Drosophila melanogaster: one gene and its partners. The gene in region 1 interacts genetically with each later gene. Each region holds a gene or a part of one and is shown in the gene's direction. Other genes may lie near its edges.

Region 1 (7,454 bases):
CTAACAAATCGGATTTCTTATAAGACGTCAAGCAAGAGATTTGGATATGCTCGCCCAACTATCGGCTAACTTAGTAACTACTGAATTCTAAGCAATTTAAGGATTTTTGCCAAATAAAAACACAGGATCAATGTTATTACGTTTAATCCGTTCCCATTAACGGGTTTATTGACTTCTTTAGCAAAAAAAAAAAAAAAAAAAAAAAAATACGTTGCATGAATGTACTGTGCAAATTTGGAAATTATACCAAAATGCGCCGTTCTGCAAATTAAAAATATTTTTAGGGACCCAATATATATATGTATATATGCATATGAATATAATATGTATTTACATACGTACACCCACATCGGCGCACATCAGATGCCCATAGCCCATATAGCCAATTAGACTCTTTTCACTGCCTTGTAAACTTAGCGCGGAATCAGTAATTTTATGCGTTCACGGACGCCAAGGCGGAATCATCCATAAGATGGTATCATGGGTGCTAATTGCAATAAACATATCTTGGGGGACGTGTTTTCCAAAATACAATCGCCACTCGGCGTCCCCTATGCGTTACATTTGATTTCAATTGGACTTTTCATTAATACTACGCTTTCCCCCACTCGCGATTCCAAAGTATATACGGTGGAAAATCATTTTGTATTACTCATGCGCCTTTAATATGATAGTTTTATTTTATTCGTACAATTGAAAAGTTCACCCACATCGGGCAGCAGGAGTCGAAGCCCCCAAAAGTAAACACAATTCTACAAAGGACGTTTCCGTTGGCTCTGCCCAGCACAAGTGCATCGGATCGCATCACATTGGATCGGATCGGATCGTCGGTGAAGGCGAATTCCAGGCGCTTGCCCAAGTAAATCGAATCGAGTGAATCCGCTGTCCCCCAAAAGCATTCCCGCACGAGTGTCCGGATGTCCAGTGGCTGGCCTGGGCGGGCACATCCTCGGGTTAGATAACACCGTCCAGTCCATCCTGTTCCGCCACCACCACCACCTCTGCGTATGTACATATGTACATGCGTGCGTATGTGCGTGTTTGGATGTACGTATCTGCATGCACCTCTTTGTGTTCCACGTACATAGCCCCGTATCTGCACTAATCTATCTGCCCCCTGTTGTGTGTACGCGGCTGCGACGGCCCAATCGATGGGAACAGATTTGTGCACTTATCAGCGCGCGTGTAATGGCCTCCACCTGGGCCAGCTGCCTCGTCTGGGTTCGGGATGAGCCCGATCTCGCTGAGAGCGCCACACACATGCTCGCCTATCAATTCGTCGCTGCGGGTGGGGGCTGGAATCACGGTGGCAGGGTCAGGAAACCGCCAAAACCGTTCCCACTCGACGTCTGGCACATCGCAGCGCATCTTGTGTGTCCCAAGTCGTGCCTTATGTAACCAAGCCGGTGACATAACACCGCTGAGGCATACTAAATGGCACTAAATGGTCGTTATCTTAAGCTCGCCGCTCACAGCTCGCGGCGAGTGCGGAGCGATTAGCGCCACAGATCGGAAACAGCCTTTATCTCTGCCCGAAAGTGGAGCATACATCGCAGGTGCAGTGGCCCATTTCGGCCAGACACCCACCAAGTTCGATGGTCATGTGATAGCGGACTACTAATCTCATGCAAATAGTGCGACTCACTAGATACCTTCGATCACGGGTTATCACACCAGTTGAGGTGCGGCAGTAATGATGGGGGCGGACTAACCGTCTTAGTTATTTGGTGGGCTTTGCAATTCGGAACAGAAATGTTATCCTTATCTTGGGAGCTTATGTGAATTCGGAACCAGCCGCACTGGACTAGCGATCGTCGGGAATGCTTTTGATCGCTAATTCCTAGCCGTGCCCTCGGCAGGGTCTCCATGTTAGCAACGACGATACTAATGTCATTCCCATTTCAGAGTGCCTTACATCCACAAATATGCCAGATAGATTTCAAGTTACAAAGGCTGACGAGGACACCGCGTTGGACTACAACCAGGATGAGTCTGCGAGCGGCAAGCTACTGGGGGACATCCACGACGAAACCCTAGGTGAGAACTATGGGTCGTACGATGGTAAGGATGTTTTCATTTTTATTTGTGCCACTATTATTACTTTAGTTTTACTATTAACTATAAGAGCTCGTTTCTTAATATATACTTATACATACTTAGATAAGATGTATACATACACAAGAACCATTAACACTGAAGAGATTGTGTGCAATTTCATCTGGTCCTTGCTGAGTTTCGTCCCATCAGCACATTTCGCCTGCTCACCCCCAGGCACACGCATTTCCCCTCCCATCGAGTGACTACTGTATGCCCAGATAGAGCTTACGGCCCTGCAATCCTATCCTGTGCTGCCCCAGTTGCCCCAGTCCGAATCCAGGATGTCCTGGTGACACATTTCGCGGCTGCTGTAAGCCAAAGCTCGTAGTACCTGACGAAAGCTCCCAGATAGAGAGAGAGAAAGAGAGAGAGAGAGAGAGTGAGAGATTGAGGGCGGCGCAGCTTTCTCGCAATCCCTTCCAGCGAACGTCGGATGCTGGGTGAGAGTGGCTGGCTGGCTGGCGGGCAGGTCCTGGCCAAGGCAGTGGGCTCAGTGGCCCCACTGAGCTGTGGGCCACCGAATGGAAATGTACACCTGCAACGAGGCGCTCTCCATTCTCCCAGCACAGCTCAGCTTAGCTCAGCTCAGCATCGCTCTCGATTTCGCTCTCCTGCGAGAGTGTGTGTGTATTAAAAATGTGTGTAGACAAAAGCTTTCGATTTCATCTCAATTGAACGCTCAGGGTCCTGGGCAACATAATTTTTATTCGGCCGAATACCAACAGTTTTCTTAGTTTTTCTATTAATCCGAACGAAAAGTAGCATACATCTGAGCGTTTTCGCTCGCCTAAAATAACTTTAGAAGGAGTCTTCTTTCGCATAATACAAAAAACCTAAAAAAAAATACGAAAAACGGGAAAACATGAGAAACCAGTTCTTTTTGAGCACCTTTAACAAATAACATACTTTAAACAATCGACGAAATTCTAACAATAATCAAATACATGAATACAAGTGCGTTCAACCAGAAAGTGTGTCCAAATTCCCTCCCGGAGACCCCAGATCCGGGCACTCGGTGTCGAGGAGGATTACCCCGCATTCCCATAGAAAGGCCTCATTTCGTAACCATTTTCAGCTGCATTCCGCACTTTCGGTGCATTTAGCCAGCTCGAGAGCCGCTTTACGGCGAAAAGGACGACTTTACGGCATTTATTTACCGCCCCACGACGACGGCCTGAAAATCCTTGACCTAAATTAATCGGTTACATATTTTTTTTTTTTCTGTCCGAGCTGGCTCAACTTTCGCAGCAGCATCCCCGCCCGCCCTGCCTGCCGGACGCAATTTTTGATCCACCTCCCATCATACCTCCACCTCCGAGTTCTTGGGGCATTTCCCGATTAGGAGCTCCCTTCCGAAACCAAACCCAAATCTCGAGTATATAGGCACACGTCCGCAGACATGTGAATATATACACCGCAGCGGCCACGCCTTTTGGGTTATATAATCCCAATGCGTGGAGCTCCGTCTGAAGAAGGACCATGCCCACTTAGTTCTTAGTTCTTGACCACGTTCTCCTCTAGTGTTACCTAATTTTAAGTGAACATAGTGCAATCTAAAGCAAGGGTTTGAAACCAAACAACCAACGTTAACATGCAAAGTAACAGTGCAAAAGATGATTCGGATGAAATGGAAATAATACCATCCGAACACAATGGTACAGTTCACGAAACCAAAAATGAAGGTATGCAGGGGATAATATCAATTATATAGTATATATGTACATATATAGTGTTCACTACTAGTGCTTAGTAGCTTAATTACATAACGTAAGATATCCGAACTCTATTCAATCCTGTGCATCCACAGACTCAGGTGATATCCACAGGGCGGAGGAGAACCAGAAGTCCAGCATCGACCCAAATCTATATCTGTACGACGATGATTTGGAGACCAGGCCCCATATATCAACGTTCATTTCATCAATTGCCAATTATGAGAACACGATACCAGCGGCCACCGATCCCGATGCAAAGCCGGCAGCTCCATCGGCTCGAATGGGTATGTTCGCCGCGCATTAATTAACTTGCTTGTTCCATCTACCCCCATATTGAAAGGCATGTGCACAATGGAATCGCAGCAAACAACAAAGCTGTGGAGGAATGATTGCTGTAATCCCCTCAAAGTGTTTCAGCCTTCACTGTGCGGGCGAATATTATAGAGCTGTTCGAAAGTATGCAACAGTGTGCAGTAGTGTGGCACAATCGAAGGGAATCGCTCCCGCGATTGAGTGCATACTTTCGGGCACCTGCCTAAATGGTTTCATTAAACTGATGACCCCAAGCATCAATCTCTAACGCTCGTTTCAATGTCTCATAAGGTACCCTAATTGGAGTGTTCTTGCCATGCATTCAAAACATCTTTGGTGTCATATTGTTCATTCGGTTAACATGGGTTGTTGGAACGGCTGGCGCCGTGTGTGGATTCCTGATTGTTCTGACCTGCTGCTGTGTGGTAAGAGCGTCCTGCTGCTGAGCCCTCCCCCATTTGGCCTCACTCCAAACTCCTCTTTGCAGACCATGCTAACCGCGATCTCGATGTCGGCCATTGCAACGAACGGGGTGGTTCCGGCGGGCGGGAGTTACTTCATGATATCACGGTAATTACAATGGCATTGGTAGGAGGTAGTAGTAACTCTAATGGTGCCACGATTAACATCAACAGATCCCTGGGCCCTGAATTCGGCGGAGCGGTGGGAATGTTGTTCTATACGGGCACCACGCTAGCAGCGGCGATGTACATCGTTGGTGCCGTGGAAATCGTATTGGTGAGTTAAGAGCGCCCACTCCCAGGCACCAATCCCAGGCGCAGTTCCACTCGAAAGTGCCATTACTTAAGCACTCATTAATTATTCATTGCAGACATACATGGCGCCGTGGGCATCGATATTTGGGGACTTCACCAAGGACGCTGACGCGATGTACAACAATTTCAGGGTCTACGGCACTTTGCTGCTCATCTTTATGGGTGAGTTAAGCCTGTGGCCCACTAGTGAGGAGCAAACATTAATGTCCCGCCACTAAATCAAGGTCTCATTGTGTTCCTGGGCGTGAAATTCGTCAATAAGTTCGCGACGGTGGCCCTGGCCTGCGTCATCCTTTCGATAATAGCGGTGTATGTGGGAATATTTGACAATATCCATGGCAACGAAAAGCTATAGTAAGTATGCGCCAAGTACGTGCCCCCTGAGCGGCCATCTAATCTCCGCCCGATTGCAGCATGTGTGTTCTGGGAAAACGACTCTTGAAGGATATCCCGCTGGAGAATTGCACAAAGGAAGACTCCTTCTTACGCGACATATACTGCCCAGATGGTAAATGCGAGGAATACTACCTGGGTAAGATCCCTTCATACATGCAGAGTGTTCCATACCGAAACTACAATGCCTTATCCTCCATAGCCAATAACGTGACCAAAGTCAAGGGCATCAAGGGTTTGGCCAGTGGCGTGTTCTACGACAACATCTTCCCTTCGTTCCTGGAGAAGGGCCAGTTCATATCCTACGGCAAGAGTGCAATTGACATTGAGAACACTAGTGGAGAGTCATACAACCAGATCATGGCCGACATTACCACGTCGTTCACCCTTCTTATCGGCATCTTCTTCCCATCGGTCACAGGTTAGTAGCATCTCGCAGACAGAACTATTCAGATATTCAAGCCAATCTACATTAGGCATCATGGCTGGATCCAATCGATCGGGCGACCTGGCTGACGCCCAGAAGAGCATACCCATCGGAACGATATGTGCCATTCTGACCACCAGCACAGTCTACTTGTCCAGCGTTATGTTCTTCGCCGGCACAGTGGACAATCTCCTGTTGAGGGACAAGTGAGTAGCATAGTGATTCTCTGACTCTGCCATGGCTTATCATCATCCAACTATTCCAGATTCGGTCAGTCTATTGGTGGCAAGCTGGTGGTGGCCAATATTGCCTGGCCAAATCAGTGGGTCATTCTGATTGGCTCCTTCCTCTCCACCTTGGGCGCTGGTCTGCAGAGTTTGACTGGAGCACCCCGACTGCTGCAGGCGATTGCGAGGGATGAGATCATCCCCTTCCTGGCTCCATTTGCCAAGTCTTCGAAGCGTGGCGAACCCACCCGTGCGCTGCTCCTGACCATTGTCATTTGCCAGTGCGGCATCCTGTTGGGTAAGCATCGGATCGTATCATATTGTATGTGCTGTGAATATAATATCTATACCAAATACAGGCAACGTGGACTTGCTGGCTCCTCTGCTGTCCATGTTCTTCCTCATGTGCTACGGCTTTGTCAACCTGGCCTGCGCTGTGCAAACCCTGCTGAGGACTCCCAACTGGAGACCGCGCTTCAAGTTCTACCACTGGAGCTTGTCGCTCATCGGCCTGACGCTGTGCATATCAGTCATGATCATGACTTCCTGGTATTTCGCACTGATTGCTATGGGAATGGCCATCATTATCTACAAATACATAGAGTACCGCGGGTGAGTTAATCACAGATCATATTGTAATGATGAACTCCAATTAAGAACACAAGTCCGTTTTAAGTTTAAGGCAGCCGTCGGGCTGACATATATTTATTCAATTTCTTCTTTTGATTTTAGAGTAGGCAGAAATGGTTCTGTCAGCTCAACGTCTACAGAGTCTCTCCGATTTTACAGTTTTTTATATATTTGGACTTAGGCTAATCCGCGTAGCTGCGCTGCCGGGTACGCCAGCAGCGGAGCGGCGTTCTTATGTATATCTTATATATCTAGGCTTATCGGGAGAGCGAGATATGTATGTACGTATGTAATATGTATTTGGTCGGCGTGTGAATGCTGACCATGCACTTATACTTTTTGCCTTCGATTGGGCAATGCACTTATACTTTGTGGCCTTCGAGTGGGTGATCATGTTACATCCGCCCTGGCCTAACTGCGTGCATAAACATAAACATAAACATAGCAACAAAGTGCTGCCATAAGTTAATATGCTATTTTATTTAATTGTTCTTAATATTGCATAGGCACATACTACATCTCCCTCCTTTTGAAAAATAACGTAACCTAGTGAAGTTATTTTGATTATTAAATGCAAATTATTTTATTTTTATTTTTATTTTGTTTGTGTTTTTGTTTGAACAACAATAGTTGATTTTATAATGCAAAGATAAAAATATACGTAGTGTATGGAAAATTTGTGTAAATGATTAAGGAAAATATAAGTTTAAATTCAATCATGAATGAAATTTCTTTAATCTATCTTTATGAACTATTTGTTTTTTGTTTTTATTAGTAAGTAGCGTAATATTGTTATTATCTCCTATGCTTTCTATCTTATAGGGCCCCGTATATTTAAAGTCTAATTTATGACCTACCTCATTTCTTAGTAAAACTT
Region 2 (7,466 bases), 1.2 Mb from region 1:
GTGAATCGGAAGAAAAACCAACAAAACAGACTTGGCCGCCAGCATAAACACCAAAAGTCGCAGTTATAAGATATTCAGATTCAGATATCTGGCCGCCTAGCCCATTGCATAATAGGCGAATGCGAGGGGAAGCGAAAACAAAAACAAAACTTTAACTAAAGCCAAAACCGAAAGCGAATCTGAATCTGAGCCCGAGTCTGGGCTCGCGTCTGAATCTGAATCTGGTTTTTCCGCTGGCGCTGTTCGATTGGTTTTAAGTGCTGGCTAAAAGGCATTTTCAATTGTAATTGCTGCGGCTTTTAGGCGAATAAACGAGGCAGAGTAATGAGCAAAAATTAAAAAACAAAAGAACACACACACACAATCATTCATACGAACCAAGAAGGTTTGGCTTGGCTGCGCTTTGGCGACGCCTAACGGCATTAATCAAAAGACTGAAGACACAAACTTGGCAGTGCCTCAAAAAGAGCAGGGAACACATATGTACATATGTATGTCTGTGCGTATGTGTGAGCACATCGTTTGGAGTGTTTTCTATTTATGACGAACCGCCATAAAAATGATGCCAAAAATAAGCGCTTACTCGCTATAGAAGCGTGCGCTAATAGGCCATCATTTAACTGTAAGGCGTGGCAAGTGTTACAATCGCATTTGGCCAACAGGAAGTCGAATATGTAATACCAACAGACAAAACAAACAGCCCACCCCTAGTCTAAAAAGGAAATAGCACTGAATCTACTTATAATAATCTTGGAAAGGATGCCAATGTAGTATTAAACTTTTAAATCGTATTATATTCTTTTGGCAGGGAATCCAAGCAACAATTGGCTTGTGTCCAACTGAGTAGTAAAGTTAAGTCTGCCTGTTACTATTATAATAGAAATCGAATATTGAAAAAAAAAAGGGTTTAAGAAACCTAATTGATGAAATAACTCAATCATCATTTATTTTTCGAGGTTCATCTCTAGAACAGCCTTTCGTAGTAAATTCCGTAACCATCCATCAACATAATTATGGGCTTCACCTCCACTCCAGTTAATCTCATATATTTCAAAGTTAATGACGTTGTCATAGAACATCTAACCAAATATATTCCCACAGCTCGGATCCAAACAGAGTTGTAGCTAGGCAGCCACTACAGAATCATTGAGAAATCAATGGCCATTTGGTACACGGTTTTGGCACAAATCAAACTTGAAATCGCACCCACGTCTAGAACGAGGCGTTGAACCAACCAACCATGTGGGTGGCTGTCCCGATGACGACGACTACGAGATTTGGCTGGCCGTGTGGGTTTGCAAGGCAAAAAGCGAAATAAGTATATACGAATGTATATTCGGACAGCAAACAAATCGAAAAGTGTAAAAAATGCCAGACACCTACGTGCACATCGCATTCTGTGATATAGATACACCGATTTGTAGCCTACGATACGTACACTTTTGCCCATTCAAAGTCGAAAATTTCGGCCATTACGTAATGCCCTAAACTAGGTGTGCTAGCTGGCCCTCTTCTGCCATTTAAAGTCACGACAACACTTTCGATATTTACCTGCTGACCAACTGAGTAAACTAAGAAGCGGATTGGTCATTCCCATTACCATTACCATTCCCATTCCCCTTGGCCAATAGCACCACCAATACCATTATCATGACCATTCCCATGACCTTGCCGCCAGCTGAATCTATAGAACTCGCCGAGTAGTGGGGCTCATTCCACTCCGCTGGCGAGTGCAACTAATTAGGTTCATTGCCAATGTCAAGTGTCAGTAAATGACATCAGCCACGGGATCACTCATAAGTCCGAGGAGCAATTCATTAATTTCCACTTTTTGCTGTCCCCGCTGGTTAATTTATTTCATCCAAGCCACGCAGTTTTGTCACTGAGACAAAAACACAACAATGACATCTCTGCTTAAAATAAATTAAGGTACAAATTAGTTTGCGGCAAAGCGGTGTATTTAAGTAGTTAATTGATGTTTTAAGAGGAATTCCATTGAAGAGTTACTAGATTAGCTACGTCAACTGTCTTTTGTAATATTAGTCAGCATGATTTTCTCGCACTGTATTCTCCTGTCGGGGCGTTAAAAAAGTGCTCAAGCCACAACTCATCGCTGTGCCGAGCAAGTGATGAGTGATGTCATCCCAGAGTTGTTTACCTCTCCGAAAAGTGTTTGTCAATAAATAGTATTCGTATTCGTATTCAAAATCTGCATACCAGCCTCGCTCAGAACTGGACGTGCTATGATATATGCGATCTGTGGCAATTGACTTGTTTAGAAACGCAACCGGATTTCCTATAATTAAGTTGGTTAGACGGTCATTTGACGCCTCGTTGTCTTCGCAACGCCGTGTGGAAAAATGCCAAAAAGGCCATTCAGACGGCCAACTTTCGGTTTGCACAAATTGTTTGGGTAAAAGTGCGACAAGTGAAAACGGGCGAACAATTGACAATTGATCGTGGCAGATTTCATTGCTGTGATTACGTCCATTATCTTCTGGGGTGGCTCCCACGTTTACACACATGTTGGCCTTCTAACGTTTGTGAAAGACTTGCCCAAACAGCCACATTCACGACAACCACTGGCATCCACAGTACTGCCCACCAGATCTGCTCGCTTTTTGCCTGCTGTTGCCGCGGCGAAATTCCAAACTAAGTGATTTCTGTTATTTTACAGACTCTTTTTTTTTGTATTATTTTCGCCTTTTTGTTATTTTTGTATTCAATTTTCCTTTTCGCTCGCTTCGTTTTGGCTTGGAAGCGACGAAACCAGTTTTGCTTTATAGCCAGATTCAGAGATATTCGCACACACACATTCGCTGGCGAAACCCCCCGCATTTTTTTTTATAAATTCTCCTGCTGCTCTCTGGAGCTTTGAGCTTTGGCCATGACGTCATCGTTTGTTTTGGCCAGGCCAAGAGAGCAGAGCCGCCCAGATCGACCAGCTAAGCGCAGTTCCAGTTCGCTTCGGGCCGCGAGCGCGTGCAAACGAAACTAAAACTGATACTGAAACCGAAACTGAATAGCATAGCTACAACTTACAGCGATCAGAAGTATCTCATCGCGATCTATCCATTTCTCCCGATCAGTGTTTCGAACGCGAGTTACATCTGTACATACATATGTGCGAGTCGCAGGTGAAGTGCAGTGACGTGCAGTGAAGATGGACGTCAAGGACATAAAAGGCGCCAAGGTGACGCATGCGGGGCTGCTCAAGCACAACTCCGATGGAACCACCGAAACGCAGAAGATCACCCATGCCGGTCTGGTGGCCCGGAGTCCCGAGGGCACCGCCGCCAAGGGTATGAACATACGGGGCAACGAGGACCTCTGGGTAGAGATCCAGGCGAACACATTCCGCAACTGGGTCAACGAGCATTTGCGTGAAACGGGAATGCAGGTGAGTTAAGCCATAGATATATTGTAGATATATTTACATTCCGATTATGCAACACTTTCTAACCGACTGAGTAATGCCTGCCGCCGACTGAATATCTGATCGATCAAGCGCAAAAAACAATTACCCAATCAATGGGCTAGCTCCGTTGAATGTGGAATTCGTAGAACTATTGATGAAGCAGGGCCTGAGAATCGATGAGTGAAATACAAAACGTTTAGATCTGGAATTTTAGCCAGGAAATGATTTGCGAAGGCAGTTGCACATAGAAAAAGTGGCACTGCTTAATGAAGTGTAATTAGGGATAGAAAACAAAATATGAATATGTGAAATAATGAACACTTTTTAATTGAACTCTATACAAATAAAATTTTCGATTATTATAAATCGCAATTAAGAAGCACTTTAAAAGCAAGGTTTTTGAAGTTCATATACTGATCCCATTTAAGCTAAATATAATCGCATAACGAGCGCATTGACTGGTGACAGAACACGTAAAAGTATAAATCGCCATCATAAACTGGGGCTTCGAGCTCTTCCGCGAGTTTCCCTAAAAGGCCGGGCTCATAAAACTCGGCTCAATCGCCCACGCAGATCTTGAACTCCAATGGCAGCAACGACAATTACATTAACAATGATGCCAAGAGTACTCACACGGACTTATGTGTACTGCCAACAATGCATTTCATTTGTCCAGGGACTTTTGAACTGTCACTCGCTTCGACGGATTTTCTCACACGCACCGCACTGAAACGACCTGAACCGACCATATTTGGCCGGTTGAATGCCAAGGCCAACGCATCGAGTTCCCATTAGCAGTTACAATACACAAAACAAGCTAAAGCTTTTGTGCGCGATCTTGCCCGGTTTCGAGTATAAAATTCGGGGTTTTATTTTTTTTTTTTTACTTTTTCGGTTGGGCCAAAAACGTACATACATACGTGTATGTGTACATATGTGATGAGCAAGGCTGAAGACCCCTTAGTAAACAGCGCTAATTGTGACCTGGCTGGCGTCTATTTGGGTCACCAAACCAAAACGAGTCATCCAAGTTTGCGTTTTTTACGCTGTTTACAATTCTAGTTCATGCGTATGCGACAAATAATATTGCAATCCACTTTGTATGACAAATGCATGTGCAAACAAAAGGGAAATGCTTTGATGGGAGCAGATACACGGAGAGAAATATTCAAAGTGACTGCATTGTATGACCTTAACGTTTTAATGCAGTGCAACAACAGTTGCGGCAGGTAGAATTAAATTATCTCAAAATGATTGCCACCATGGAACTGTCGTAATAGAATGACTAGACATTTTCTGACATATAGCAAAAATTTATATGCAAATAAAAGTACATATATATTTTGTTAGGTGAAAACGCAACTCCCAACGAAACTCGAGTTCATATCGTAAAATCAGAGGAATCTTAAAAATTTAAGGGCGGAATAACAGCAGCGACAAATAACAACCTGCGGCAGCTTGTTAGAGAGCCATGGAGCAACTACATATGTGCGATGTGAGATTTTTATGGCATCCAATGAATATTTTCCTAGGCACAAACAAACAGCAACAGACACGCGATTGTCTCCGTACCCAGTTCTCCAGTTTTTTGTCGTATTTTATTTGTTGAGTTGAGTTGAGTGGAGTGGAGTGGAGTTCCCCCCAGTCGAATCGAATGCCGACAGCAGCCAGATAAAAAGCTTTATGTCAAATGCTTAAAATCGCGCACAATTGGTTGCACCCGGGCGGAGAAAGCCGCTCAGTTCGGAGCAGCGAACCTGTTGGGTTCCCAAGCCCATTCTTGAGCTCCATGTGCCATGTTCCGAGATCTGAGCTCCATGCTCCAAGTTCCGAGCAAGCGGTTTACCTTGCAAAGTGGGCCACCAGTTTGCGGAAGGGGCGTTGATTGCTCATTAGGAAGGCTGCCAGTCAAGCGACCTTCTTGCATTTGCGCAGACATGGTAGGCGTTTCGCACATTTGCTAATCTCCATTGGGAACTATGTACATATGTACTACAGCAAGTCTAGTAATCTCAACTAATGCATAGCTATAAAGAAAATGCTGCTAGAGTCATTAAATAAAGATAAAAAATCTCTTCTTTCGAACATTTTTTTGTTTTGGGTTAGCATGCTTTTTAAAATTAAATCTATATAGAATGGAAAAGTAAAAACTACCCACTTAATAAAAGTACATTTTGCAAATCCATTAGACCGTAAAAAGCTAATATCATATTAAATGCAATTATAATAATAAACCTATTATGGAATGCACTCCCATCTCTTACTTGCCACATTACTTGCGTTGCTAAACGGAATGTATTCCAGCAGTAATCTAATTATTTGCCACAAACTTTCCCATTACTATTTCTAATGATACGGAGAAGTTAATGCAAATTCCCATTGTCTCTCAGGTTCATGACTGGGCCACCGATTTCTGCGATGGCACTTGTCTGTGCGCCCTTGTGGAGAATCTGCAGACGCGTCCACTGAAACCCTCGTGGAATCGCCGACCCGCCAACCAGCATCATTATTTGGAGAACGCCACCACGGCGCTGAAGTCCATCGAGGCGGATCACATCAAGCTGGTGAACATCGGCAACGTGGACATTGTGAATGGGAACATAAAGCTGATCCTGGGCTTGATCTGGTCCCTTATCGTGCGCTACCAGATCGGAAGGAGCAAGTTCCCGCCGCGCAAACTGATGCTGGCCTGGCTGCAGGCCGCTCTGCCGGACTGCAGGATCACCAATCTGACCACCGATTGGAATAGTGGCGTCAATTTGGCGGCGCTCCTGGACTACTGCCAGCCGGGCTTGTTCCCGCACTGGCGAAGTCTCGATCCCAGCCAGAGTGTGCGCAACTGCACCCAGGCCATGGACTTGGCTCAGCGCGAGTTTGGAGTGCCCAAGGTTCTGGAACCGGAGTACCTCGCCTCGCCCTGGTTGGATGAGCTGTCCGGCATGACGTACCTCTCGTACTTCATGAAGCCCGGTGGTCCTGGTTACAATGCCACCATGCGATGGGTGAATACGCAGGTCAAGGACCCTGTGAAGAACTTTACGGTATGTTAATATCCATAATCACATATCAGTTATAAAGCAGCCTTCTTTTTTAATAAATCCTTATGGCTCTACAATAAAACACGCTTTTTCACCGCATTTAAATATGACCTTTTAATCCGTTGAACAAATGTTAATGTACATCTGCAACAATTGCATTAAAAAGAACATAAATACTTATTAATTCTCGTATTTTTCCAACCAATAATAATCGTATCCCATAATGGCACTTTCATTTCGCAGACCGACTGGAACGATGGACGCGTTATGTGCGAAATTATTAAGGGACTGGGTGGCTCGGCGCCCGCACCGGAAAAGCTCAGCACCGATCCCTTCCACTACGAGAACAACATTCGGAAGGCGGTGGACGCGGGCGCCCGGCTGGGCGTGCAGCCCATCCTGACGGCCAAGGACATGGCCAACCCGGAAGTGGAGCACCTGGGCATCATGGCCTACGCGGCCCACCTGCAGTGGGTGCCGCCGAGGCCTCCGCTGTCCGACCTGGTCAGCGTCTACCTGGAGAGCACATCCGGTCGGGTGGGCGAACCGGTGAGTGAAGCATATATATACAATATATATATGAATGTACAGATGGTGGCAAAATAATAGGGCACTCATGACTAGAAAAAAATATATATTATTACTTAACACAAATCCGATCAGTGGTGTTTACTTACAATATAACTGGAAAGATAGCTCCCAATTTTTAAATTAAACAAATATTTTTACTAGTCAGCTCAATTATTTTACCCATCACTGTGGGTGTGTATATGAACACTGCAGTCTGCCAGGTGCAGAGCGTAAATTTTTAATGTCCGATTCACACGCAGACCCACTTCCGCATCGACGTAATGTCCCGGGACATAAGCCTCAGCTCAGTACGCTGCCACGTGGTTCCTCCGTCCGGACAGCCGGGACAGCCCGTGCGGCTCAATGCCCACGGCGAAGGAGTCTTTGTGCCGGAGCGCTATGGGATGCATGAGATTGTGGTGGAGATCGGCGAGGACAGT
Region 3 (7,793 bases), on another chromosome or scaffold:
GCTTATAATTCTGTGCATTAATTCCCTTAGTGTACTATGATGATTGATTTCAGATCTTGTGCAAGATGTGTCCATAAACTTTGCTTGTCTGTTTGTGATTAATACCCATATTTGCATATTTTGGTTTTGGTAGAATGACAAATGAGACAAGTGTCCGGAAAATAAGTTTTGTGTGGTTAATTCACAGTTGGCACTTGTCTATGTTGGCCAGTGTTATCTGCCGACAAAGTTGACAAAGTTGCATAAAAAGCATTGACAGCTTTTCTTTGGCTTTTTTGAGCTTGTCACTGTGCGGCGTCTTTGCCGTTTGATGCCTTTTTTTGTGGACCATTGATGAGGGGTGTGCTCTTTCCAAATAAATCAATTACATAATGCCTTTTGTGCGATTATCCGGCAAGTTTTTGTCCGCCTGACAATTATGCGCGCATTACATTATGTGGGTCAACGTGGCGTATGATTAATGAATCCCTTCACGAGGCACAATGATGTTGCCACGGCTTATGCTACTTCCACCGTCGCCTCCGATGATAATGATGATTATTATGAGGGTGATGGGCCATAGAAGACACGAACTGCGTTGTACGAAGCCAGTTTTGACAAAGTGCTTCATTGAAACTGTCCGAAAAAATGGGTGCTAAGCGGTCATTTATTTTATTAAGTTGGTAGTGAAACTTCTGCATGCATTTAAGTTGTTTGCTGTGACTGTAAGAGCACTACTTAACACTGAAAGTTAGTTCGATTATAGATTCTAGATCTTTCTAATAATTCCATTGGCTTGAGCTATATAATTAACCCACTCCTCCTATAACTTCCAACTTACGTGAAGTAGACTTGTCCCCGCTTATTTTGCGGTGCCTTCCAGATGAGCTTGGCGCCCAGCTTGTCCCGGTTGTCCGAGTGCGTAATGGCCGAGCACTCTGGAATGGTCTTGGTGTTCTCGCTCTGCACCCACTCGCCGATCCACTCGTTCGAGTTGGCATCACGCGCCTGCAGGAAGAATCCCCGGAAGACGGTGCTCTGGTCCGAGTGCGGGTAGATGACCACCGATATCTGCTGGCCGGGATGGTAGGTCTGCGCATCGGCCACCACCTCGTACGGATTCGAGTGAGCCGGCTGACTCCGGGCCTTGCCATGATTCGGCTGATTCGCCCGCTGCTTCACGCACGTGTCCGCCGGAGCGCCGTCCGGAAAGGCGACTGCGGCGCCTATCAGCAGGAGCAGCTCCAGCGACAACCACTTGAATCGATCCTTCATGGCTCTGGAATTCGATTTTCCTGATCGTGGGAAAAAACGCGCGCGCTCTCGGCTAATCTGACGCTGAAACTCGGCTCGCCGCCGCCATCGCCGGCCGCTTATAAACCCAAGCGGCAATGCCACAAGCGACGCTGCCGCCGAAGACATGGGCGGGCGGTTCAAGTGGACAGATAGCCACAGTCGGGGGTGTTTGAATAGGAGCGTTTAGCTATCCAAGAAAGCCAGCTATTGGAGAAGTCAGTGCGCTAAATCATCTTTTTCTTGACTACGATAAAACTTTTTCTAAAAAGTTATTTGTACTGTTTAAAAAAATATTCAAAAATATGCAAAAATATAAACGAATATTCCACGCTTTTCTTCCAGAACTCTTTGCTGTTGATCAACTGTTATGATAAATAGTAATTAATAGCCTTTGATAACTTTATTTACTAAACAATTGCACTAAGACCCAACCGTAAATCATTACTATTATTTTATTTGGTTTTTAATTCTTAAAAGAACTAACACGGAATGATGTGTCAAGAATAAATCATTGACAGATGCCAGCTGCCATCCCAATAGATTTTCTTTGACTAATTTATGGCCGCAGCGGTGCTATTAAGCTGACCGCAAATGTAGTGGGGCGCTCAGCTGGCGGCGGCCAACCAGTTTTTAATGATCAAAAAGCAAATGGCCAAAACACACAGAGTTCCTTTCCTGCACAGTGATCCAAACTGGGTCACACATTAGTCCCTCCCCTGGTCGACGAATCGGATTTCTTTGCTCGGTTTGGTGGTCTGGGCCCGAAACTCTGGTGCTGCTCTAAGTGCTCCATTGCGAAATTCTATGCTTCTAATCGCTGAAAATGTTGGAAAATGTTGGAAAATGCTGTCCGCACTGCAACATGTTCCGCAGTTTGTTTACTTTGCGCCTGTTCGCTGCATTTTTCAGCGCGTTTTAATGTTTTAATTGACAGGCAGCCGCCGTTGGCGTTGATTTCGCTGAATTGAGTTGGCTCCGGTTGGGTTTTTCCTTTTTCTGATTTCTCAGTTGTGATTTTTTTCTGGCAGTTCGCTTTTCCCCCTTTGATACCGCTGCGTTTCGCATTTCACAGCTTCAGTCGGCGGTTTCCTTTCTGGGATCCGCCAACGCCATTCCTTCGTGGAATATGGTTTTCCACCACCTCATTTTCACTTTAGTTTTTGGCAAGGGGGATAATTGCAACAGCTGCTGTCAGTTGGAATACAAATGGAATAATTAAGTCAGTTCTTTAACTTTAAGCATTTGCTTAAATTTTCATTTATAAATTGTTCGGAATGTTTTAAAATAGTGTTTATACTCATTAAGAGAAATAATTATGCGAAATAATTATCAATTAAACTATAACAAATGGCACACAACACAGCTATGTGTTTTATAATTCCTATTTTCGCAGCATATTTTATAGCTAGAATGGTAACTAAATAAAAAATATAAATAAAGTGCCCAATTATTTCTGCTCACTTTAATTATCTTTTTTTTTTTTTTTTGTTATTCACAAGCACTGCAAACAGCATACCGAATGGCACACAAATTCTAATTTAATAAATGCGCAAATGACCAACAACACTTCGGGCCAAAACACACTTTTAAGTGCTAGTGTGTGTATCTACACGCACTCACACTTTGGGCCAAGTCAATACCAAACTTGTTTCATTAATTAAAATGTTCGGTTAATTATTCAAATTGCACGTGCCAGCGTCAGCAACTTTTGCGCACAAAACTAAATTGTTTGCTTTTGGCAATGTGTTTGTGCTGAAACGTGATAAATAATACTCTAGATTGCTGAACTTTACAATTGGACATTGGCGCTTATTTGCATTTCAAGTTGGCCGCACTGCAAAGGTCAGTTAACCCGGTGGCTTTGCTTTAACCGAAGGATCAGCGGGCCGAAAGGACATATCATCCATTATGGATGCGGCGAATGCGAATTTTCAACTCCCTGCACTGGGCAGCAGCATACCGAAATTTTCGGCCATTGAAAATGACATTTGCGCCACATCACACCAGGTCTTGTTACGCTACACAGAGAAAAATATACTAAAAATATTATAGAATTTCATTTTATTATGAATTAATCTATTCATATTTGTTTGATATTTTTGATTTTTTTTATATATAAAATACACTATTTACAAAACTTTAACGCATCAAGTCATGCCATTATCATAGAGTTTAAAAATATAAGTAAGCTAAATATTTTATCAATTAATATCTATATATAATATATATATAATATGCAAGCTGGTAATGTGTTTCTTTCAGTGCATCCATCCTCCGGCCAATGCATGCGAAATTTACTTCAACCTAAAGTACGAAAAAAGTGGGCAAACGAAGGAAAACTGCCAGCCGCCTTAAACCGATGTGCCATGTAAATAGTGGAGCTTGTGGGCTCAGAGGGGGGGATGGAGCGGTGGCCCGAGGAGGGGTCGAAAAATCCACTTCATCGGCGACGGTTGGCGCGGAAAAGTGTGTCACCTGCAGGCGGGAAATGCGCAGGTCCTGTGAGAGGAAAAGCGGCTGCCGCCTGATGGTGACTTTTCCTCGCAGACTTTTCACCAACGCCACATTCGCATTTTCCACCAAGGCTGTGGGAAATTCGGCTCAGAACGTGGTCAGACGTCGAAGCGCGTGGTCGTCGAGTTTTCCGAGAAAATCCAGTGGGAAAGCAAACAGTGCGAGGCAGCAGCAGCAGCAGCAACAACAACTATCTAGAGCAAAGGAAATTGTGAGCAATTTGTATTTTAGTAGTATATTTCTTACGCGCGTGAGTGTGTGTGTGTGTGTGAGTCAGTGAATGAGTGTGTAAGTGTGTGAATGTGGTGATGAACCGAACAGCGTGCAACAAGAATAAAAAACGAATGCCCAAAAGTGCCAAACACAAACAACAACAAAAAAAACGAGATGAAAACAGAATATACATAAATGGCAAGCAAATATTTTTCTTCTTGAGCAGGGCAAAGAAAATCACAAACTGCAGCGTATCCATGCCCTCAAACCAAAAAAAAAAGAAAAACAAAAAAATAAAACGAAGAAAACAGTGAAAAGCAATCAAAGTAATAAACGAAAAGGGGGGAATGGCGAACCGAACTGAAAGCAAATCAAAAAAATCAATGCCCTTTCTGCGGAATTATACGTTGCGTATACGTGATATGTACCGAGGTAGCCAAGTCAAATAATAATAAAGGAAATTCTCACGTGACGCATAAAAAAGCCAAGCTCGCACACACACACAGCGATGGCAACAGTAACACGGCATGCCCCTCAAACATACGCACACAGCGGTAAACTTACTACCTGGGACACAAATTGAAGTTGGCGAAACATATTTGCGCAGCAAAGTTGCTACACGCAGCGAAAACTCGCTGCAGTAGTTTCAAATTGTGGGGGGAAACTGTGATAAACACAATTCATAACCAGAAAAGAGTTGAACTAATCAGAAATCTATAAAAGATCTTAAAGTTATGGCTATTTAAAAGCAATGTGGTGCCTAAAGTTGTGGTAGTGCCTAAAAGTAGGCAATGGAATTTGTCATTCGTGAAATGTGACTTGCTGCGTATGTATATAAGTATGATTTGTGTGAAATATCATCATAGCACTGATGAAATTCAAACATTTTCTCATCTTTTCTTGCAAAAGTGTCCCACTTTTCTCCGCCTGCATTTGGAAGGCACATGATTATGATGAGCTTGCCTCGCAAACTTGTTTCTTTTTTGAGGCTCGTGGCTCGAAAATGACAACAGCTGGATGGCCGAGTGGGTGGGTGGCGGAAGATTGCCTTTTGCCGCATTTGTTGCCGCTATTTTGCATACATTGAATTTAATGAACTGCCTGTGTGCGGTGTGTTGGATTTGCTTTTAATAATTTAGGCTGCGCGCGAACTAAATGGCGCTTTTAAAGTACGAACCGTCAGGCGACCCCAATATGGGCGACAAACGGGCGAGATGAGGCACAAATGAAAATATGAAAAAGGGCAGGGAAAACACGAACCATTTAATGCCCCTTCGCACCCTCGTTGCGCCTGTATGGATACGCTGTGAGCTGGTGTGTGTGTGCAACCCCAAGTCGGAAGGGCAGACATACTAACACACTTCAGCCGGAGGACTACGTCATCCTGGCCCAGAAGCTTTGGGGCCAGCAGCCCCCCCCGACAAAGCCAAGCCAAACCACTGCGAACCGAACCCAACCAAACCAAAGCGAACTTCGCTGGGAGCACAACTTTCCCTCGACGTCGCCACATTTTCGCATTCACAATCACATCGCGTGGCATATCCATAGGCGTAAGGATACGGCATAGGCACATGGTCTGGCCTCCACTCACACCATCACACTCGCCTTGCCACACATATACACACAGAGTTTGGCGAATGTGCACATGCACAGTATAGGTGAAGTTATAAGGACTCGAGTTGCGCTGCTCCTCCTTCGGATCGATTCCGGCTAACACAGACTTTGCGGCAGTTGCCGTTGCAAACACTTGAAGAAAAAGGGTGTAACTGTGATCACGAACAAGTCAGCTGCATTTAAAGAATCTTTCAGACTTGGAAGAAGTTAAAACCCTTGATTAGATTGAGATACATTTGCAAAGCTCAGAAGAAAGTAGTGGATAGTTATCTTCTATCTATTTAAAAACCTTTACTTGGTTACATTTTCCGATATTCTGTTTCTATATCATTCGCTTTAGGATCACCTTTCTTTCAGTGAACTAACTCCAATTGCAGTGGCAGTTACTTCGCTACTAGCTGCACGACAATCTGCATGCGGCATGACATCGCGCAGCCGAAGGATCTCGAGGATATATGTGGCTGGCAGGGGGGCGTTGCCGATGGAGACGTCATCAATTTCCATCCAGCCTATAAATACAACTAAAGTATATATGCCACAATGTGATGCCTTTGCGCCGGCGGCAAGTGTTGCAGTAAATTTCGAGGAGATCCGACTGCCGGCATGACCCTTGACCTTCGACTTGCACCATGTGGCATGCCCGTTTATGCTTCGATTTGCCGCCCTATACGCCATATCCACCCCACAGCCCCACGCCACCGCTCAGGCAAATGCAAAATCATTTGCCATCGAAATCGCATGTCGACCGGCAGAAATAAAACTGAAAAAAAAAGAAGTAGAAAGAGCAGACATGCCGTATAGCAAACCGAAAACCCAACCAGAAATCCTTGTCGCACAGTTTGCGTTTATAATTTATATACGACGTTCCCCGTACGAGGAGGCTTCTCTTGTTTTAGTTGCGCATTCGTCCTTGTCCCGGCCAAGTATCCGTATCCAAGGCGGACTCTCAATCGAAATCCGCATGGAGGAGGCCTTTAAGTGCGCCCGCTGGCATTTGGTGCTCCTCCCGTTTAGGCCGACAAGCTGCCCGCTTTATGGCTATTAAAAAATGCATTTAAATACACACCACGGCCTGCCATTTACCATATAAGCCATATACCATATAATCTTCGATGCGGCCTGCGTCTGTCTCCGGTTTTCGCTTCTCGGGCCTCTTCAGCTCCTCCTCAGCTCGAGTATGAGCTCCTTTGGGGCGTTGTTGAAAATTGAAATTGCGCGCTTATTTATGGAGCTCTGGCGGGGACGCTGGCGTTGATTGCCGTAACGCCCCATTGCCTGGTACATGACTATAATAATGATTGCCATTTTTATAGGCCAGCCAGCGCCGGCGCTGCGAAGATAAATTGTTTGGCTGCTTGGAAAATCGTTTCGCTTCGACATTTGAATCCTTTTGCTCGAAACTATCTGCTTGATTTTCCCCTGGCAAATGGCTGCTGCGGTGGGTCAGCGCATGAATGCCAATGAAGTACAGCGCTAGCCACGGCGTATACTTAATTTTCGGGCAAATACTTCTAGATCTTTCGAGGGCTGACAGCGCTTCCCATAGGCGCGGTTAGCTTAAGTGCACTAATTAATTTTGCTGAGGTGAGGCTGTCCTTTAAGTAGCTTAAGGATAACTAAATGCCGCATCTCTGGGGCTTTCGCTGTGTGTGTGGGTGTGTGTGTGTGTTCACCTCCAGGATAAATAATAAAATTGCCAGCGGTCGACTGGCCCCGTTTCGCTGATGACACAGAACCGAGGAGTCGAGTGGCCCGGAGTCGAAAAGTCGACCTCTGACACCCTCATTATCCTACATGTGTACAGCCACATAGTCCTTTATATGTGCGGCAGCACGTGTGGAATATTAAGCAAACTGTGCAAACAGTCGTTGTCACATTAACCATGTCATGGCAAGTGCATATGCCACTCTATCACCCCCGACACTTGGCTCAGCGATTGTGGAGCCGTGCACTGGGAGAAATTATAATGGCATACTTCATATAAATAGCGATATTGCTATAATATCTGCATTCAAACAAATAACTAACTAACTGTCTCCTTCAAAGTTAGATGTAACATTACTCGCCAGAGCTATGATATTAGGTTGTTCATAGCAATTATTTCTCTGAGTGTATGCCACCTTTTAGACCATGTTCTATTTATAGTACACAAGCGGCACATATTTTATTTTTCGTGC
Region 4 (7,605 bases), on another chromosome or scaffold:
ATATGTATGAATGTAAAAAAAGGTGCTTATATCGTTTTTATGCAACAACTATATTTTTCCATTATTTTAATTGTCGTAGCGAGAAGCACGACCGAAACCGCCACGATATTCGACCCGTCCGGTTCCGGCACCCACATCGCCTTTCTTGTCCATTCCATATGCGCCTGGACCGCGTCTGTAGTTCGATCTGTCGTCATCGGTTTTGGAGGCGCCTCCGAATCCTCCTCCGGGTCCTCCTGGTCCTCCGCGCGGACGCACTGCGTTCGATCGAGTAGTTTGCGTCAAAGTGGAGGGCACAATCTCCGGGGGCAAGTGCAGATAGCGGCGCAGTTCCTCGATGCCCTCGTTGGTCAGCAACCAGTAGAAGTGGCGCCAGGCAAACTGCTCCTTGACCCAGCCACGTGAGTTCAGCGACTGCATCACCTTGATGACTTGCAGATTGGGAATCTTATCCAGTTCGGAGTGCTTCTGGATGGGCGAGTCCTTCTTGGCCACGAGCACACCCTCCTTGAAGAGGTACTCGTAGATGGCGACACGATTGGCTTTTGGAATGAACATCTTGAAATAGTCTGATTTAATTCGAAAAATTCGCAGAAAATGAAGATGGAGCTTAGTGTGGCCAGCTTAAATTAGTATTTACCGAAACTTCTTTCATTCATTCCTCACGTTTTTGAGCACTACCTATTGGTATTGGCAAGCACCAATAAGTTTTTCATAATTTGAAAACAAGTTTGTAGTTCAATATATAAACTTGAGGATCGTGATACCATTATTTCCTTTCACTTTAAGAACATTTGGCTCAGCCCCCTTATGATTTTGAAAATAAATTATATGCGAAGCTTTCTTCATTTTCTGTCAGTGTGTTTCCTCCTGCATTTTGCTGGATTAGCTGCGTTTTAAGCTTTCGCACTCCTGAGGAGGAGCTGTGATTCATCTTTTGCGTCGCAGGACATTCTGACCAAACATGCGCAATGCGAGCGGCGGCAACCACATGAGGAATTCCTCCCCCACAGGAATGCTGAACAGAATAATCAATGAGCGAAACGCAGACACAAATTGACCAAGGGAAGCCAACCAAAAGGAAGGCATGCCGATAGATACAACGTAAACCCACCACCCACCGACCGGCTGCATCCCCCCAAAAAAAAAGCTAAACAAATGCCGGAAGGAAAGGAAAACGAAAGCGATTAGGGGGTGGCAAAACCACCCCCCTTGGAAAAGTGTCAACAAAAAGCAGTCGACCTTGCTTAGCGTGCGCTTCCGATTAAATGCACTTGATTTACATAACATTTGAGTAATTTTCTACTAATTAAAATGGTTACCAAATCGATTATTCCATTTTAGTAAGTTCAAATAAAGTGGTAAACTCTAATGCATAAGCTGTGTTGGGAGAGTATAAAATCTGCCCTTAGCCTTGCATACTTATTGTTAATATTTATATTAGTTAATTTCGAATTCACATGGCTGTTACGTGCAAGCAGTGCTGGTTTGGATATTAGCTCTTCGCTGGGTTGTTGCATTAGATTAGCTTGGACGGCAACCTAACGGCAAATTGGATATAATATCAGGCGAATTCGTTTGTTTTAGTAGAAAAATATAAAACCCGCTAAAATAAATATATATAATAAAAAGTAAAATTTTAATAGAATTTTAAAAATAGATAAATTAAAAAATAAACGCTTTATATTAAACAAAATTTTCTCTTTTACTTCCAGGTTTGTATTCAGATTTATGGAACTTAATGAGAACTTAAAATGGCTTCAATTATGGTTATGTTAAATACAAAGAATCGTCAGGAAATCAAACTAATTCAGTCCTAGAGTAAGAACCATAACCTTGGCAATCGAAATTAGGCTACAGAACTATGCAGACATTAGCCCAGGACTACGCTCCTTCCACGTCTGAGTCTGAATCCTTGGCTAACCTCACGTCAGTTTGGATCTCCCCAGGTTTACTTTTATGTCTACGCATTAGAGCGCCGGAGTTTTGCGTGCTGCCTGCTTGTAAATAAATAGACAACAATTAGGGGAACCTATGACAACAACACCTGGATAATGGAAAGGTGCGTGGCAAGCGGTGCAAGTTGGCTCTATGTGGATACAAAAATATATATGCCACCCTCCCGATTGTCGAGGGCAAAGGATTGGGTCTGGGAATGGGAATGCACAAATGCGCGTCGAAATGCCTCCCCCGGTGGCCATTAAATTAATCAAGTCAAATGAAATCTGCATATAAAATCAGCGTTATAGGCTCCCCATTCGCTCATTGTTGGCGTGTTGAATTTGCATTTTTCCCCGGCGCCCCACTAATAAATTTGTATGTCAATAGAATATAGCCAGAATACAAGGGGCTGCTCCACCAAAAATATATCCTGGCAGCGCTTTGAACTGCGCAAGGACACATTCTGTTTATGCGCCCCGAGAAGTTTACGAGCGACCACGCTCCGCCAGACCAAGTTGGCGTATCAAAACAAATTCTAAGTATTGTAATTCGAAATTTTTCAAAGCAAATAAAAGCAGTCGAGTTTTAACACTCGCGCCAAACACAACGCAGTGCAGGGAGCTGGCGTCGTAGCTCCACCAGAATATTTCAATTAAATAGAAAACAAAAATATATAAAAAAAAAATATAAGAAAATATAAAACATATTATATTATTACGCGATTTTGTCACAGTAGAAGTGTGTGGTTACTTACGCCTAGGTAAATTGCACCTTCATTCCCGTGTTCAAGCCAAAGTGCAAAGTGCATTAGCCTTCTCAGGCTGTACGTGGCCAAGTTATTGCCCCCTGGCCAGGAAAATCGATACAATTGCATTGCATGGCGCTTGTTTTGTTTTATGGCCAACTGCAACTGCAACTACAATTGATAGTCTTTGGACTGTGTGATAAAAATCGCTACTGCAGTGGCGCCAGAATTCAATTGCCAAAGGACCAAGTTTTGTTAACCATATTTCACCGAGGGTGAATCTAATTGAAATGCAAGCCACGGGCTTAGGAAACTTTTGTGCTTGCACCTGTGCAACTGTTGACTTACCAACCCCATTCCACTTGGCTGATAATCAATTTGGCCAAGACCATTTGGCCACAAATGACAGTTGAGTTGAACGTTGTTGTGCGGTTGACATGAACATTGTGTGGAATTTCGGTTTATGTCAGCCGCGAATAAATCACAAATCATTGTAGCCCTAATTTGCAGTTGCTGTTTCTGCCAGGCCTTCTTTATTTTGTACTATTATATATATATATATTTTTTTTTTTGCTACTGCCAGGAAGTTGGCGATTCCGACTCTGAGTCGGCACAAGTTGCAGTTGCCTCTTTAGTTGGCAGTCGGATGTGGCACGTGCTGAGGTCATAGCTCCTCCAGTTTAAAGAATCCCTCGTCGTCCTGTGCAATTTTATCGATTCGCCCGTCAAATGTAACACACACCAAAAAAAAAAAAAAAGCACTGGAACTTAATGCAAAAGTTTTCGGTTTTTTCTCCGCATTAAGTTAATTGCCAGGCAGTGCCGAGAACCAGTCTATATAGACATAGTCCCCGATCCGAATTCGAACAGTAGTAACCCACTCAGATATGAGTGATACCGATGCGGTGAGTTTTGCTTGAATTCATATATATTTTGGAGCTGCACTTAGCGCACACCGATTCGCCCATGCACAAATGATTTACGAGCATAATTTGCATAGGGAATGATCCAGGTTAATGGATGTATTATTCCGCCGACCTTGCACATACATCATTGTCAGTGGAAGGAACCCTTTTGCGAAACAAATCAAACAGCGATTTCTTGTGGCCCGTCGATTTGGGCCTTAGAACTGCCAAAACTTTTGTTGAATCAATAAGCCACAAAAACAATTTGGGTCACGTTACAGCTGGCAACCGGATTTCATGACAAAATTCCCTAATGGTAACCAAAGACCGAACGCCCGAACGCCAAATACCCAAATATCCTTATAGCCATATAGCCAAGTAGCCAAGTAGTGAATACCAAAACAATAAAATGTAAACAAATGCAGAAAGAGCCATCAAATTTGAAAGCACCCACTCAATGTGAACTATATTGATACGTACGTCTGTTCCGATACACGAGCTTTAGCTCCACCATTGGCACTTTGGCAACCCCACAGTTGGCAGAAGTAAAAGTAAGCCCACAACGATATATGGCCATACATATGCAAATGATATGGGCCAGTTTGCCGGGGCAGCGGAGCATGTGGGTGTATATCGATGGCATTGGCCACCAAAAAGTGGCTCCGCCACATATTGGGTTACCAGACACTTGCACATTTCTGCACCGACACCGCAGGCGAGAAGTTCTAGTCCTTCGCTAGGATGTACGGCACGGGAAAGGATCGCTCCGGCCAGGAGATTATTTCTCCACAGGATTACCCAGTGCAGCAGCAGCGCGCTCAGTCCAAGTCAGAGTATGTCATGAATTCCGCATCTGTAGATCGTCCTCAGCAGCAGTCGAGACCACAACCCACGCAGGATTATGTGCCTTTTGAGTCCTCCGATTCATCTGTGGAACGAAAGAAAGAACAGCCAAGTGCTCAGTTAAGCACAGATTATACCAATAGCAACACCACTTCGGATAGTGCCTCCTACGGCTCAGATTCAGTTTCCAAACAGCAGATACGATCTCAGCAGAATCCAGAGTATCAGAACAATGCCTATGAGGCACCTAGAGATGACCGCAGTCAACTGCAGCCACAGAGATCCCAGCCAGCTACCGATTACTCTGCATATGAACGTCAGCAACGTCCGCCACCAACCACACTAGACTACACCACCGGCTATAATGCACCACCTAAAGATCGCACCACCCTGTCACGCACCAACTCGCGGCCCACCCTCTCCTCACCCAATCCCAAGCTCCAAAGTATACCCAATACCGAGTATGTGCGACCACCACAGAACTTTGTCTTGCCACCGCAGATGCGTCCCGCCGTGGGGCCACCACAGCCGCGTCCTCCGTTCGCCGGAGCCCGACCTATGGTCGGAATGGGACCACGACCACCCATGCCGCCGAACATGGCGGCCAGGCCACCACCGCTGCGCAGCACAGACAGCAAGAGCAACCTGCTAATGGGTCCACCGATGCGACCGGGCATGCCACCGCAACTCAATATGCAGCAGGCTCGTCTGCCCAATGCCGGCGGACAGCTTAGCCCGCCGGGCCAGGGACCACCAAGGCCACCAGGCGGATTTCCTTGGAATCCAGCCGGGGCACCGGGAATGCCACCCGGAGCACGTCCGCCCCAGAATATGACGCGACCGCCGCCACCTACTTTTGCACGCCCGCCGCCGGGACAGCCGCTGCAGGCACCCTTCAATCGACCGCCTTTCAACCAGCCGCCCATGCAACCGCAACAGCAACAACCACCACAACAGCTGCAGCAGCAGCAGCAGCAGCAACAGCAGCAGCAACACATGCAACAGCAGCAGCAACTACGCCCACTTTCGGCAGCCAGTGCACACAACAACAACGATGACGACGACGACGTGGTCATGGGTCCCGCGGTGACCCCGCTCAAGACCTTCAATTCGAGGCCCGATCCAATGGGCGAGCCCCTACTGGAGGACATCGAGCCGCCCTTCCAGACGAGCCCCCCAGCCGGAGAATCCAAAAAGGGGCCCGGCTTCAGTAAGACTCAGATCGATAAGCGATAAACCAAAGACCATTAGTGAAGCCATTTAAGAGTTTATTTTTAAAATTTAACTATCTCAATATGATTCATGATATATCCATCCATGCCTCCCTCATGTATCTTTTGGTTTATTTCAGAGGGCGACAATGACAGCGGCGTGGATGAGTCCACTCAGGAGAAGGTGAGTTGTTATCGGTTTTGAACCAGTTAACTAGTTAGCCATAAATTGTTACCTCTGCTGCGTCTCCGTTAATTGAGAGGAAATTAACTGGAACTGGCAACAAATTAATTTAATTCCGCGTGCCTTTCCTCCGCCATGAGTTCTCAAATCATAAATATCTGTAAAAGGCCGGGGCAACCAGCGGGCGATCTTCGAGCTACAAGCTCCACGCTCCATTAGAGACCATATAGCAGTATATCACATATGTAGCATATAGCATATAGCATATAGCATATAGCATATTGCCTGCGACAGTTCCGTCGCTCAGTTCCCAAGTTCGTGTGCAGACGTTAAAGTTCAGACTAAGTTTTGTGTTGGCAGACGGCAGTTGGCGCGTCGGAAAAACCCGCAGAAAGTGCGACAAAAGTCGAAGAAATCAAAAGTATATGTACTACATGTATATATGTGCAATAAGTGAGCTTCACAGGTGCGAGTGAAAAAGTGGCAGAAAGTAGAAAAAAAAGGGCAAATATGGCCAAAACCCGCCAAAGAAACATACACAAAAAGCGATTTATATGCCTGGTGATATCTGCGCACAGATAAGTGCCAAACACGAAAACGAGTTGTGGATTTCCAGGGGGGTTTGGGTTTTTGGGGTAAATCGTAGCTCAAACTTACACATACATACATATATCCAAGTCGGAATTGTTGTCTCTATAAATACCCATCCATATGCAAAGGCGACACGAAGCGGCGACAATCGATAAAACAATGCATAAACTATAAGTCCTTCGTACCGAGACATCCAAAGCCAAATCGGCAGGCGTACGGCCGCATGGCCATAAATGCCATTGGCATTACGTTGACAGCTCCGTAAAGTCCGGGAGTGTTGAGAGCCCAGTAGTCGTAAATAGATAATAAACTCGAAGTCAACACAGATACTTACCAGGATGCATCTCGTTATAATGGCCGATGCGACCTACTTGCTAGTAATCCACATGGTCTAACCATTCAGCATAGTTAGTTTGCTAAATCGTGCGCTATGTTTGTTTCTCGGCAGGATCGCAACGGACCCAACTCGCCCAGTTCGCCCGTAAAAACGCCCACATCGACCTCATCGAAGCCGGACAAGTCGGGCACGTCGCGTCCACCGAGTGCCACGCCCTCGAACAAGTCAGCCCCCAAATCGCGCAGCGCCTCCAAGAACCGCTTGCTCCTCAAGACCCCAGAGCCCGAGCCAGTGAAGAAAGGTGAGAGACCGTAGTTCCATCTATCCACGTGAAATACTTTACTATATCATATGATCTACATATATATATTATCATTCTGTTTGCTTCACCAGTTCCAATGAACAAGGTACAAGTCGGACATGCGCCTTCACCCAATCTGAAGGCGGTACGCTCCAAGATCGGATCCCTGGACAATGCCACCTATAAGCCGGGTGGCGGCCACGTGAAAATCGAGTCCAAGAAGATCGACATCAAGGCGGCACCGCGCATCGAGGCCAAGAACGACAAGTACATGCCAAAGGGCGGCGAGAAGAAGGTATGTTCGTATTGTTCATCCTCTAGACCAGCGTTTTAATCCATGGGAGGGATCGGTGTATCCATTTAAAGCATATATTCTGCTCCAAGCCAGTACATGACTCTCTCATTAATCTCTGTAAATTTCTCTCATCTACAAAATGGCTTTTAAAGTACGGAGAAAATGTATCTTTCTCTGAGCGCAAGAAACGTAAAGTATAGTCGCGTAAAGTAAAGTAATGTAAAGTAATGTATTGGCTGAATAAAAGCAATT

What was found.
Region 2: of kcc (region 1) and jbug, changing one enhances a phenotype caused by changing the other (phenotypic enhancement), as found in Drosophila melanogaster (one study listed by BioGRID).
Region 3: of kcc (region 1) and jus, changing one enhances a phenotype caused by changing the other (phenotypic enhancement), as found in Drosophila melanogaster (2 studies listed by BioGRID).
Region 4: of kcc (region 1) and tau, changing one suppresses a phenotype caused by changing the other (phenotypic suppression), as found in Drosophila melanogaster (one study listed by BioGRID).

What each region holds. Positions count from the first base shown.
Region 1 is NT_033778.4:23,907,773-23,915,226, forward strand, and holds the start of kcc (kazachoc), read left to right. Parts: upstream 1-2,837; 5' UTR 2,838-3,051; intron 3,052-3,618; 5' UTR 3,619-3,688; coding exon 3,689-3,779; intron 3,780-3,904; coding exon 3,905-4,096; intron 4,097-4,415; coding exon 4,416-4,549; intron 4,550-4,611; coding exon 4,612-4,694; intron 4,695-4,759; coding exon 4,760-4,862; intron 4,863-4,956; coding exon 4,957-5,062; intron 5,063-5,124; coding exon 5,125-5,254; intron 5,255-5,313; coding exon 5,314-5,432; intron 5,433-5,495; coding exon 5,496-5,714; intron 5,715-5,769; coding exon 5,770-5,926; intron 5,927-5,985; coding exon 5,986-6,245; intron 6,246-6,306; coding exon 6,307-6,559; intron 6,560-7,454.
Region 2 is NT_033778.4:22,732,539-22,740,004, reverse strand, and holds the start of jbug (jitterbug), read left to right. Parts: upstream 1-2,959; 5' UTR 2,960-3,163; coding exon 3,164-3,400; intron 3,401-5,808; coding exon 5,809-6,459; intron 6,460-6,699; coding exon 6,700-7,005; intron 7,006-7,286; coding exon 7,287-7,466.
Region 3 is NT_033777.3:29,191,095-29,198,887, reverse strand, and holds the start of jus (julius seizure), read left to right. Parts: upstream 1-3,894; 5' UTR 3,895-4,000; intron 4,001-7,793. Other genes in the region: CG14515 (uncharacterized protein), read right to left, coding at 821-1,254.
Region 4 is NT_033777.3:27,645,789-27,653,393, reverse strand, and holds the start of tau (tau), read left to right. Parts: upstream 1-2,639; 5' UTR 2,640-2,701; intron 2,702-3,491; 5' UTR 3,492-3,591; intron 3,592-3,686; 5' UTR 3,687-4,332; coding exon 4,333-5,644; intron 5,645-5,785; coding exon 5,786-5,829; intron 5,830-6,206; exon of another isoform or gene 6,207-6,295; intron 6,296-6,584; exon of another isoform or gene 6,585-6,758; coding exon of another isoform or gene 6,759-6,797; intron 6,798-6,868; coding exon 6,869-7,058; intron 7,059-7,150; coding exon 7,151-7,353; intron 7,354-7,605. Other genes in the region: RpS10a (ribosomal protein S10a), read right to left, coding at 67-558.